Caenorhabditis elegans: one gene and its partner. The protein of the gene in region 1 interacts with the protein of each later gene in a pairwise test. Each region holds a gene or a part of one and is shown on either strand. Other genes may lie near its edges. The genes, in order: ari-1.2 and zen-4.

Region 1 (4,648 bases):
CAATTGTGTCGGGATGTTCGTAGAATCGTTCCAACAACGATTCTTTATTCCATTTGTATTTGTGTAGAAGAATCCGACAAACGCCGGTTTTCACTTGAAGAACTGCTTCTACTTCTGAAATTGCTTTCTTCATTTCAGCTTCCAATGAATCGTGGTCAAGCACCTGAAAACGGTTCAGTTGGAAAGAAAGTAATAAAACGTAACATTACCTCATTATCCTTGTCTTTTTTGTTCAGATAATCTGAAGCGGACTGATCATGGCGAGCGATTCCATCGTCATCGGAGAGGCACTGAAAATAAAATTTTAAATATTTAAATTAAATAATTAAATGACTGTTTGACTTACTTCATCATCCATATCGTCTTCGCTGGAAGCACTGCCTTCCATGTATATCTCGTCGTCTGAATTCATTCTGAAATTTTTAACGTTAGATTTTTTGAAGAAAGCATATTATAAGTTTTTCTAAAATTATTAAGTAAAAGAAAAATTAGCATAAAACTTTTTTTCAAGATAAAACTGAGCAATGACACCACAGTCCATTGCACTAATTCAAGTTTTCGGTTCAACTGGCAATTGAACCGGAAAATGAAGAGAATGAGATTTAAAGATGCGCAGTAGGTAATCGATGACTGCGAGAGCCTGCTGAGAGTGCCCAGCAGGCTGTAAAATAGACAATCGATAAATAACAATGACAGTATGAGAAAGTAAATATATTGTGAAATAATTCACATTTCATGATTTCAATTTCGCAATCACATTTGAAAATAAAATAAGATATGGAGTAGTGCAACCCAAATATAGTAGAAAGAAGCCGTTATTGTTTATGAAAATATATGAAATTATCGCGAGTTAATCCAAAAACAACATGATGTGGAACAACATGATATGGTTCAAAGAATTTCAGAGATTTGTGAATGTGGTGAGAATCCTGAGGAATATTGAGTTATTTTAGAAGCGAGAATATTATTAGCATTATTGCAATCATTATCAAATTTCACTCGTTGTACTGCCAAATGTCTTGTTCGGTGCCTTCGGCGCAATGGTCAAGGAGTACTTTGCGACGGTGTTCCACGTAGCGGAATGTGTCTTGGACCTGGAAAATAGAGTGTTTGCAAATTTATAAGATATTCTTTCAGTACCTTCTGCTTGAGAGTCAACAAGTCCTCATTTTCAAGATCTCGTTCCAACAATCCGGACAGTTGCTCGGTCTCCATTTCAAGATCCTTCTGATTTGACTCGAAGATCATTGAATTGTTGTCTCGCTTCAAATAAAACGCGAATATGTATGTGAACATCAACGTGTTACGGCATTCCGACAGCACGTCCACCGCTTTTCGTAGAAATTGAACATCAATCCAAGACATTGAGAGATTCTGCATTTGATCCATCTTCGCTTTAACTGTCTTGTTCAACTGGAATTCAATTTTTGATACAACATTTAAACTACGAATTATCGAATACCTTTCCCTCCAACCGCAAACTTTGTAAATGTCCCATGTAGCGATTGTAGTAAAAAAGATAACGTGTCAAATTTGCACGGTACAATTCTTGTGCAGTTCTGGCCGTTTGAGATGCTTCGTCGTCAAATCTAGAATGTTTTGAATTATTTCAATTATCTCAAAAATCGAGACCAACTCACTTGTTGCATTTATACCATGCGTTTGCATGAACAGTCCACGGCCCGAGGCACATCCAACAAAATTGAAACTTGCATCCAGTGTTCTTACAGGTAATCTGATTGCATCCACCGTTTTTCTCAATTGTCGCCATACACTTCGGGCATTCTTTTGTGTTTGAATTGATCCAATTCGATGTTTCACTGTCATCATTGCACTTTTTCATCCATAACTTCAGAAGCCGACAGTTTACTGGTTCATGCCAATCCTGGCCACAAGAGAAACAGAATCGAGATCCACAAGTGCACACGACAAGTCGAGGCTCGCCATGACTAACCTAGAAAATAGCCAAAATTTTATGGATTCCATTGAATTCAGAATGGTTTACCTTGACAGTTCTCCCACAATCAACCCCTGGACACCATTTCAGAAGCGCATTGATTTCTATGTAGCTGGCCACCATCATTTTACGGTACTTCGCAATTATAGTCGGATCTTTGATGTAGGCGAGTACCTGAAAATATTTAAAAGTATAATTTCAAGTTTATAAAATTTACCTTTTCATCTTCTATTAGCAGTTTACAATTTGGAGCCATACACTCTATCTCTGATTGAGCATCGCTTACGATTTTATTGGTCAAATATGCCTGCCAACATTCTGCACAAGCTCTATGATTACATGAAAGACCCGAAAGTTCATCCATGGAGCAGCAAATGTCACATTCTGCATCACCAGCTGGAATAACTTCTTGTTGACGTGGAATAACTTGTGCATCAATTAGAAAAGCAATTGTGTCGGGATGTTCGTATAATCGTTCCAGCAATGATTCTTTATTCCATTTATATTTGTGTAGAAGAATTCGGCAAACACCGGGATCAACTTGAAGAACTGCTTGAACATCAGCTATCGTCGTGTTCATTTCAGCCTCCAACAAGTCGTTGTCGAGGACCTAAAGAAATATTTATTATTTTCAGCTTCAAAACCGCGGTTAAATAACCTCATTCTCCGATTTTTTGTCTTCTTTGGCGTACGAAGTATCATTATCACTGGTGTCCAGCACGATTTCTTCATCTTCTTCTTCGGAAAAACACTGAAATTCGGTTTCTCTTTCCCCAAAAATTGAAAGCAACTCACGTCCGCTTCTCCAAATTCCTCTGGACTCGAACCTCCGTCTTCCGTGTTCATTTCAGCGTCAGAATTCATGCTGAATAGGGAAAAATGAGGAGATTATCTCAAAAAGATAAAATTAATAACAATATATCGCGAGGCAGTAGAGAGTGACCTGGCGCATTGAAAACAGCTGTGTGCTTGTACAGAAAAAAGACGCAGATAGTGAGGCAAACAAGAGTGCGTCGGCACGAGATACGAGAGGATAAAGTTCTGAGCACTTTTCGAAATCTAGCATATAATTCAAATCTCGGGTTTAATAAAAGTTATTTTTCGTTCCAGTTGAAGCACTTCGTCAAATAAGTATGGAAGAGAACCACGTTACATAACATGGCAATTTACAAAAAACAAAAAAATGTTCAAAAATTTATACTCAGAAAAAAAGGAATCCGTAGTCTAGAAAAGAGGATGTTTAGAATAGAGGAAAAGTGGGACTGGAAAATTCTACACAAAAATACACATAAATGTTTTAGGCCGAAAAGAAAAAAAACATCTGAGAGCACAAGGATTGTGATGGTAAATGACAGGAAATGAACATACAGACAAGTAGGGTAGACAGTTAAACTGATTGAAAGAATCGAATTTGGAAAAAATAATCTACAAAACAATAAAAAAATTTTACAAAAAGTATACTAATAATATGTTGGTCAAAAAAATAATTACTCGTTGAAAACCCAAAGTTCTTGATCAGCTCCTTCGGAACAATGGTCTAGAAGTACTTTTCGGCGATGTTCTACGTATCGGTACTTGTCTTGGACCTATAAATTTTTTAATTTGAACACTGCAATTAGAAAATTTATTTAAATTTTCGCTGATAAGAAATCAACAATTTACCTTTTGTTTAAGTGTCACCAGATTCTCATTGTCTAAATCTCGTTCCAAAAACCCGGACAGCTGTTCTGTTTCCATTTCGAGATCTTTTTGATTTGATTCAAAAATAATGGCGTTATTATCTCGCTTCAAATAAAATGCGAATGCATAAGTGAACATCAGTGTCCGACGGCATTCTGACAATACATCGACAGCTTTCCGAAGGAATTGAACTTCAATCCAAGACATGGAAAGTGTCTGCATTTGCTCCATTTTTGATTTGACGGTTGCATAGAGCTAAAAAATATTTGAATATTATTAAATGAATCTATTTAAATCTAACAAACCTTTCCCTCCAAACGTAAACTTTGTTGATGTCCCATATATCGATTATAATAGAAAAGATATCTTTGAAGATTTGCACGTGATACTTCTTGAGCATCCCGAGCATTTTTAGCTGCAGAATCATCAAATCTATTACAACTATACCATGATGAACCATGAGGTTCCCATGGACCAAGGCACATCCAACAAAATTCGAACCGGCATGCTGTATTTTTACACGTCATATGATTGCATCCACCGTCTTTTTCAATTGTGATCATACATTTTGGACATTCTTTAGTGTTTGCATTAATCCAATTCGATGTTTCACTATCATCATTGCACTTTTTAAGCCATAACTTCAGCAGCCTACAGTTCACTGGTTCATGCCAATCGTGACCACAAGAGAAGCAGAATCGAGATCCACAGGAGCATACGACGAGGCGGGGTTCCCAATGGCTGACCTGCAAATTTGATTGAAATCATTTTTTAACTGAAAATTCACTCACTCTAACAGCTTTCCCACAATCTATACCGGGGCACCACTTGAGAAGACGATTCGTTTCCACATAACTAGCCACAATCAGCTTTCTGTAGGTGGCAATTACTGTTGGGTCGGTAATGTAGAACATAACCTGAAAATTAAACTATTTTGAATTTAAATTTAACTTTGGAAAGCTATCATTTTATGGTAATTTTTAAAATTTGTTTTACTAATACTGCTGATTT
Region 2 (6,181 bases), on another chromosome or scaffold:
TTCATTTGTTTTAAAAAGTTCGTTATTCTGGGTTTACGGGAAAATAGCCAACGAGACCCATCGTTTGGGGGGATTAGCGGTTGAGCGCGTTTACACGTCGATTTCAAAAATGGATGTTTTCTGCGTCTCAATAATATATTTAAAACGTTCCCAGAATTTTTTTAACCGACCAAACTTCTGGAAAATCTTTAAAATAGTCCGACAAATTATTGTCTTGCAAACTTTTGCAAAGAAATTAAACTGGAGAGAAGAAAGTTAATAGCAATTTTTGAAAAAAACGGTGCGGCACGCTTGCAAATTTCATGCCAGACTTGCGGAAAATATTTCAAAATTTCCACTGTTTCAACGAATGTATATTTCAGATCATCGCAAATGTTTCCAATTTCTTGACAAATACAGCAACACCGGATAATATGTTCATGATGAATGCAGTAAATGTATTCACTCATCTTAAAAATACTCTCTAGGCAATTAATTTTCACCGATTTTCTTTTTTTTTTCTCATATTTCTCTCACCACGTGGTTTCTGATCTTGTCTCTCGCCTGGCTTTTCCCAATTTAACTTTAATTTTAAAAAATTAAATCTCTCTGATAATCAATATTTCTGACCTCTTTTTCATGATAATCCCTTTTTATTTTTCGATTGAATTATTTTTTGAAATACCAACCAAAAAATCAAAAAACGCGTATTAAATCATAATTATTTGTATAAAACCGTGCCTTTTTCCCACCATTTTCTATGTAACCCTCGACCTAAATCGGGTCTTATTTATTGAGATTCATTTTTTTGAACGAAAATAAAAGCTAACTTATTTTCATATTTTATATTCTTTGAGTTTAATTAAAATTAAAATACAAAAGCATTTACTAGTACACAAATCATCGTCGGGAATAAAAATGAACAGAGTTCTTCAGATCGATATCAAAAAATTGTGCGTAGAAGGAGAAAAAGACGAAGAAGTGAAAGATCATAAAAATGCGGTGAGGTCTACAAAAAAACAAGAGTTCTCTTCGAGTTCGGAAAATGGGATTATGAATGAGAAACATAATAAATTAATAAATATTTGGAGAAAATTTGAAGAGTATGGTACAAATTTGACATGAAAATGCAGCAGGATGGAGGTAAAAAGATCAAAGACGGCACTTATAATTACTTTCGTGTGCTCGGAGATTCGTGAGTGAGTCTCTCGATATCGTTGAAGAACACGGCAGTGCCACCGGAAACTGTTGGAATTACATTTCCCTGAAAAATTCGAGATGAGCAACAGATGAGAAAGTGGAACACAAAAATAAATGTATTTTTAAAGTTATATGACCTAAAACATTACATGAAAAACTGAAATTAAATGCATATAGAACTAGCACTAAATTAGTTAATTTTAAGCATGAAATTTTAACTCAAAAAGTATATATCAAGCAAATTCAGGCAGTTTTCTCAAGCACTACTAAAACAGTATCTAAAATAGCCAATAAACAATCAAAAACATACAACAAACACATAAAAATGTAAAAAGAGCAGCTTCATCTTCTCATTCCCCCAGCAAACATTCATTTCAAATAATTCTCATTCATCTTCTTCTTCAACATCATGATTAGAGTATATCGTTATCGATTTTACATCCGTACACGGTGAATACGAACTGCTTTGCGAGTCTTCCAGTTGAAGTTCTGGTGGTTTAGATGGTGCCTGTTAGAATGCGTTACGTGTGTGCTTTGTGAGAAGAAAAGACGGACAGTTTTGTATCAGGAAAGATGGGTGATAAGGACACGGGAAAACGACAACGGGACGGTACAGGCGTGTTTTTGGGTGGAAACCAAGGAATTTACCTTCACTATATTCGTGCTAATGTTTCCTTCATCGTCAACTTCTTGATGCGTGAGACGGTATTCTCCGGATTTGTTCAACTGATGCATCTGGAAAACAATTGAATTACAATAAAATTGCGGAATTTATTAATGTTTTTTCCTACCTCAGGTTTAGTAGTCCGTATGGCGTTAGCCGGTGTACGAGACTGAAGAACCGTTCCTGTTGGAACTCGATGAAGTGGCTGATGATCCAATAGACGAGATGCAGACTTGGATCTTCTTTGATATTTTGGATTAACGTAACCCTGTTGACCACTTCCTCCACTTGAAGATCCAGACATTACAGTGGTCGATGTAGTGGCTTCTAACCGTTTTTTGAAGACTGGAGCACGTCCTGGAGTTTGATATGGCGGTGGTGGAGTTTGGATTGGAGCTGTTGGATGAGCCACATTCTCTTGATCAAATCGTGATCGAAGAGAAGCAACAGACGGGGATGGATTATCAATAATTCCACGAACATTTCTCATCGCCTTCTTCTGTGACTGAATAATCTTCCTGTCCTCCATTTTTTGTTCCATAAGCTTTTCCATAACCAGAGCATTCTCTTGCTCTCCTTGCTCACACGAGGCAATTCGTTCCTTCATCGAAGCGTTCTCACGCTTATATCTTGAGCAGAAACCTCGAAGCTTCTTGATTTCTTCATCCTTGTCGTTTAGAGAATCTTTGAGACGTGCAATCTCTACTCGCTGGTAGTCTGCTTCCATCATGTATTGGCGAATCATAGTAAGAAGAGTTGAAGATGGTCCCTCTTCTGATGAATTTTGAAGAGATGAAAGTTTCCGAGCATACTTATACATGGAATCTACCGTATCTTTGTCATTGCAATCCTGGAAACAATTTGTTCAAAACCATTCAATTTGTGAAATTCTTACTGTCAAACAGAATGTCGGTGGGCACGGAATTTCTCTACTTCCATCATCCTCCATACGAACAGATCCATCTAGCTCAGAATTCCATTGGGTGAAGAATGAATGAGGAATCCGCTCGGATGGCATTCGTTCAACTTGCTTTTTCACTTCAATTGTTTGTGATTCTTCAGCGAAAGCTAGAGCACTCTGAAAGTTACGAATTTAAATAATTAGTAAATTCTTTGAATTCTGAACGAACCATGTTTTCATCGTAATCATCAGGCTTTGGATTCACACAAATAACCATTCTGATTTTTCCATTTCCTTCCAGATAGTTTTTGAATAAATGAGTCAATTTTGACTGGCGATATGGAACTTGCTCAAGGTTTTGTGAGGAACTCTTTTGGTTACGACGGAGTACTTCAATACACTGACGAAGAGTCATGAGGGACTGATTGATCGAGTTGGCTTCCGCAAGACGTTCACCAACATTCTGTGTGCGCTTTGCTCTAAAATTTTTCTCATTAAACATATATATTTCAGTTTACAACAAAAAAACAAACCTCTCAGATCCAGCCAAATCTACCAAACATAACTGCGAAACGATAATTTGCGATGAGTCCATTGTTGGATACACGCTTTTCGTCTCGTAGGCTCTCGGAGCCATAACCAATTTGATAGTGAATACGGAATGAGAACGGGATGAATCTTTGTTGAGAAGAGTGGACGATACACGACGACGTTCTTCTCCAAGGCAGAACACTTCGAGAGCTTCCTCGCTTGACGAGACTTCAACATCTTTGGCTCCGTCGACGTACATCTGTTGCTGACGATCATGACGAATTTCACGCTTCGTCAATACTCTGGAACTAGCGGAGGGTCACTATCAATTATTGCTCGATTTTTCTTACCCATTTCTGGCGTCTTCCAACAAATCGTAGCAATAATTGTTGTAGATTTCGACGTAGGTTACGAAAACCGAGCAAACCATATCGTCGTTGTAGCCTGACAGCTTTATAGCTTCACAGTAACGATCAGTGATTTCGCGTGATGTGGAAAGACGGTCTGCAGCCATTTGATGGCGTTTCAAGTGAGCATCCAATGTGGCACGGATCTCGAATGTATTCAGTGCTGATGGATAGAAGATGCATTTCTCAACTCTGGAAGAAAATAATATTATTTGCTTTTTTCGTTTCAAAAGCTTACCGATTATTAATACTATTGAAAATTACATCCAATGTACGCGGCAGTAGTCCTGTGCCGGTTTCAGTGGGTTTTCCCGTCATTGTATACGTTTTTCCAGATCCAGTAACTCCATAAGTGAATAACAACGAATTCTGACCTTTCAATAGGTTTAAAATTAAATCAACAGATGTCCGCTCAAAAACAGTAGCTTGTCCATCATTTTCCGAAAAAACTCGTCCAAATCTAAACACTTTCTCAACTTGTGGAGCGTTTTCGCGTCTGAACTGTGCTGGTGGAAGAACAGTTTGAATAGATCCCTCATCAATTGCAATAAGACTTGGAGTCGAGCCAGTATATGGACAAAGACGACAAACGACTTCGATACTGTCGGTTTCTTCAATCGATAACTTCTTCCGGCGGACTTGGTCTCGCGATGGAGTTATTCCTCGTTTACGCGACGACATTTTCTGAAATGAATTGAATTAAATAAAACAAGTTTTGTTATATTGATTTACAAAAACGGTTTTATTCCAAAAAACCGTGAAAAAATAACAAATTTCGAAGAAAAATCAACAAAAACAAGTCAAAGCAAACATGTGAGAACGGTTAGAATTCAAACTGGCGGCGGAGGGGGAGGGTGCGCAGTGAGACCAGCCACGCAGATAAATCTATGCGCCTTTAATACCTATGTCTGCGTCTCTCACACAAGGCAGCGAGAGTGGTACTCTTGTAATATTGCGGTGGCACTCGCTAGCTCGCGTTTTGTCCGCCGCCACCGTGTGCTATGGGCCTTCCTTCAGTGCGGGGAGTTGAGACTGTAATGGGTTCCGAAAGGATGAAAATCCTCAAAGTTCCTGATGTGGCCGCATCAAAGCACAGGTCGGATATGATTGTAGTGAGATATAATAAAAATCATTTAAAGACATAAAAATAAACACATAATACATAGGAAGATTAATAAAAAACATACGAATAAGTTACAAACAAGGAAATTAATTATCATCTGTAAAAGTTGAGGTGCCAATATAAGATTCGTTTTGCTAATTTTTAATAGAACTTTATATTCTTTTTGTGAAAAAGTGTCTTCGTAGTTTGGTTTTGTATTTCCCCCAGATTAACTTGGTTTTGGTTCTGGTTTTGTAGTTTTTGTCTATTTTTAAAAATTGGTCAGTGTCAATGTCAACTTTGTGTACTCTATCTCTATCAATTTTTAAGAGCCAAATGTACACAATAAGTTCTGCTGATTTCATAGTGAATAAATTTCTAGAAAAAAAAAACATGATATACCACAGTGCCAGTAGCCCAACAGTACAAAGAAAACATGTGAAGTTCACTAGAATATTCTACATTTGTTTACTTCTAGAATTATAATACTATAAAAATTAATTTTCAAGTCGTAGTAAAAAATCATTAGTAAAAGATAAAACGTAGTAAAAGAGCCAATTGTAGTACAAGATCAAGTAGTAAAACAGTATTTGCCAAAAAATTCAAATAACAGAAAAAGGGCATCCTTGGTGTTCAATCCAAGCGAGCAATGAATTCGGAGCAGTTCTGAATTTGGAAAAAATGTGCCAATTTGTTGAAAAATAATTCTTTCCACAGCAATTTCGAAGTTTATTTTTTAAAACCGTCCTTAAAAATCTCAGTGTTTTCCATTTCAGACTCAAGATTCCGTTTCAGATAAATCACGTCATGACGTATCTGAAAAGAGAAGGGCGACACATTAAGATTCAAAAATCGTCTGAATTCTTGCACTCGCATTAAATTATTTATAAGCTTCTTATATCTCTGATCATCAATCAAATGGGGTTCCCAGGATTTTAATTCTTGATTCGTTTTTTTTTTGCGAGGAGCAATGAGTGGGCGCAGCCGAATCGGGGAAGCCAAATTGTTGAAGATGCTCCCCAAATTATGAAACGTTTAAACAGGATTAAACATTCTATTACGGGCACACTAAATTCTGAGAATGCGTATTGAGCAACATATCTTACGCGCAAAATGTCTTGTAGCGAAAACTACAGTAATTTTTTTAAATGTCGATTTACGGGCGGAAAGTTCGAAACAAATTTATTTTCGAATTGTGACAGCGATATTTAAACTTCCTCCAATTTTTCGTTGAGCGTCAAATGTGATGCGCAATACGCATTCTCAGAATTTAGTGTTCCCGTAATATTTTTTGTTTTCACCCTTCGTGGGAAAACTACAGAATATTCTCAATTTTCTCCAGAAATCACCACACTCCAAACACTTGGAAACTCACGAGGTGGTTAATTACTGATTCT

What was found.
Region 2: the proteins of ari-1.2 (region 1) and zen-4 interact in a two-hybrid assay, tested with the Caenorhabditis elegans proteins (one large-scale study listed by BioGRID).

What each region holds. Positions count from the first base shown.
Region 1 is NC_003279.8:6,055,409-6,060,056, forward strand, and holds ari-1.2 (RBR-type E3 ubiquitin transferase), read right to left. Parts: upstream 3,017-4,648; 5' UTR 2,901-3,016; intron 2,850-2,900; 5' UTR 2,822-2,849; coding exon 2,753-2,821; intron 2,709-2,752; coding exon 2,616-2,708; intron 2,568-2,615; coding exon 2,175-2,567; intron 2,132-2,174; coding exon 2,006-2,131; intron 1,955-2,005; coding exon 1,641-1,954; intron 1,590-1,640; coding exon 1,463-1,589; intron 1,414-1,462; coding exon 1,141-1,413; intron 1,095-1,140; coding exon 996-1,094; 3' UTR 723-995; downstream 1-722. Other genes in the region: ari-1.3 (RBR-type E3 ubiquitin transferase), read right to left, coding at 1-163, 210-290, 347-412; E3 ubiquitin-protein ligase ari-1.1, read right to left, coding at 3,445-3,543, 3,620-3,892, 3,943-4,383, 4,429-4,554.
Region 2 is NC_003282.8:6,116,406-6,122,586, reverse strand, and holds zen-4 (Kinesin-like protein), read right to left. Parts: upstream 4,373-6,181; 5' UTR 4,364-4,372; coding exon 3,921-4,363; intron 3,875-3,920; coding exon 3,626-3,874; intron 3,584-3,625; coding exon 3,278-3,583; intron 3,224-3,277; coding exon 2,974-3,223; intron 2,922-2,973; coding exon 2,739-2,921; intron 2,694-2,738; coding exon 1,971-2,693; intron 1,915-1,970; coding exon 1,828-1,914; coding exon of another isoform or gene 1,744-1,827; exon of another isoform or gene 1,688-1,743; coding exon 1,565-1,687; 3' UTR 1,490-1,564; exon of another isoform or gene 1,244-1,489; coding exon of another isoform or gene 1,151-1,243; 3' UTR 810-1,150; downstream 1-809. Other genes in the region: M03D4.4 (C2H2-type domain-containing protein), read left to right, coding at 363-467.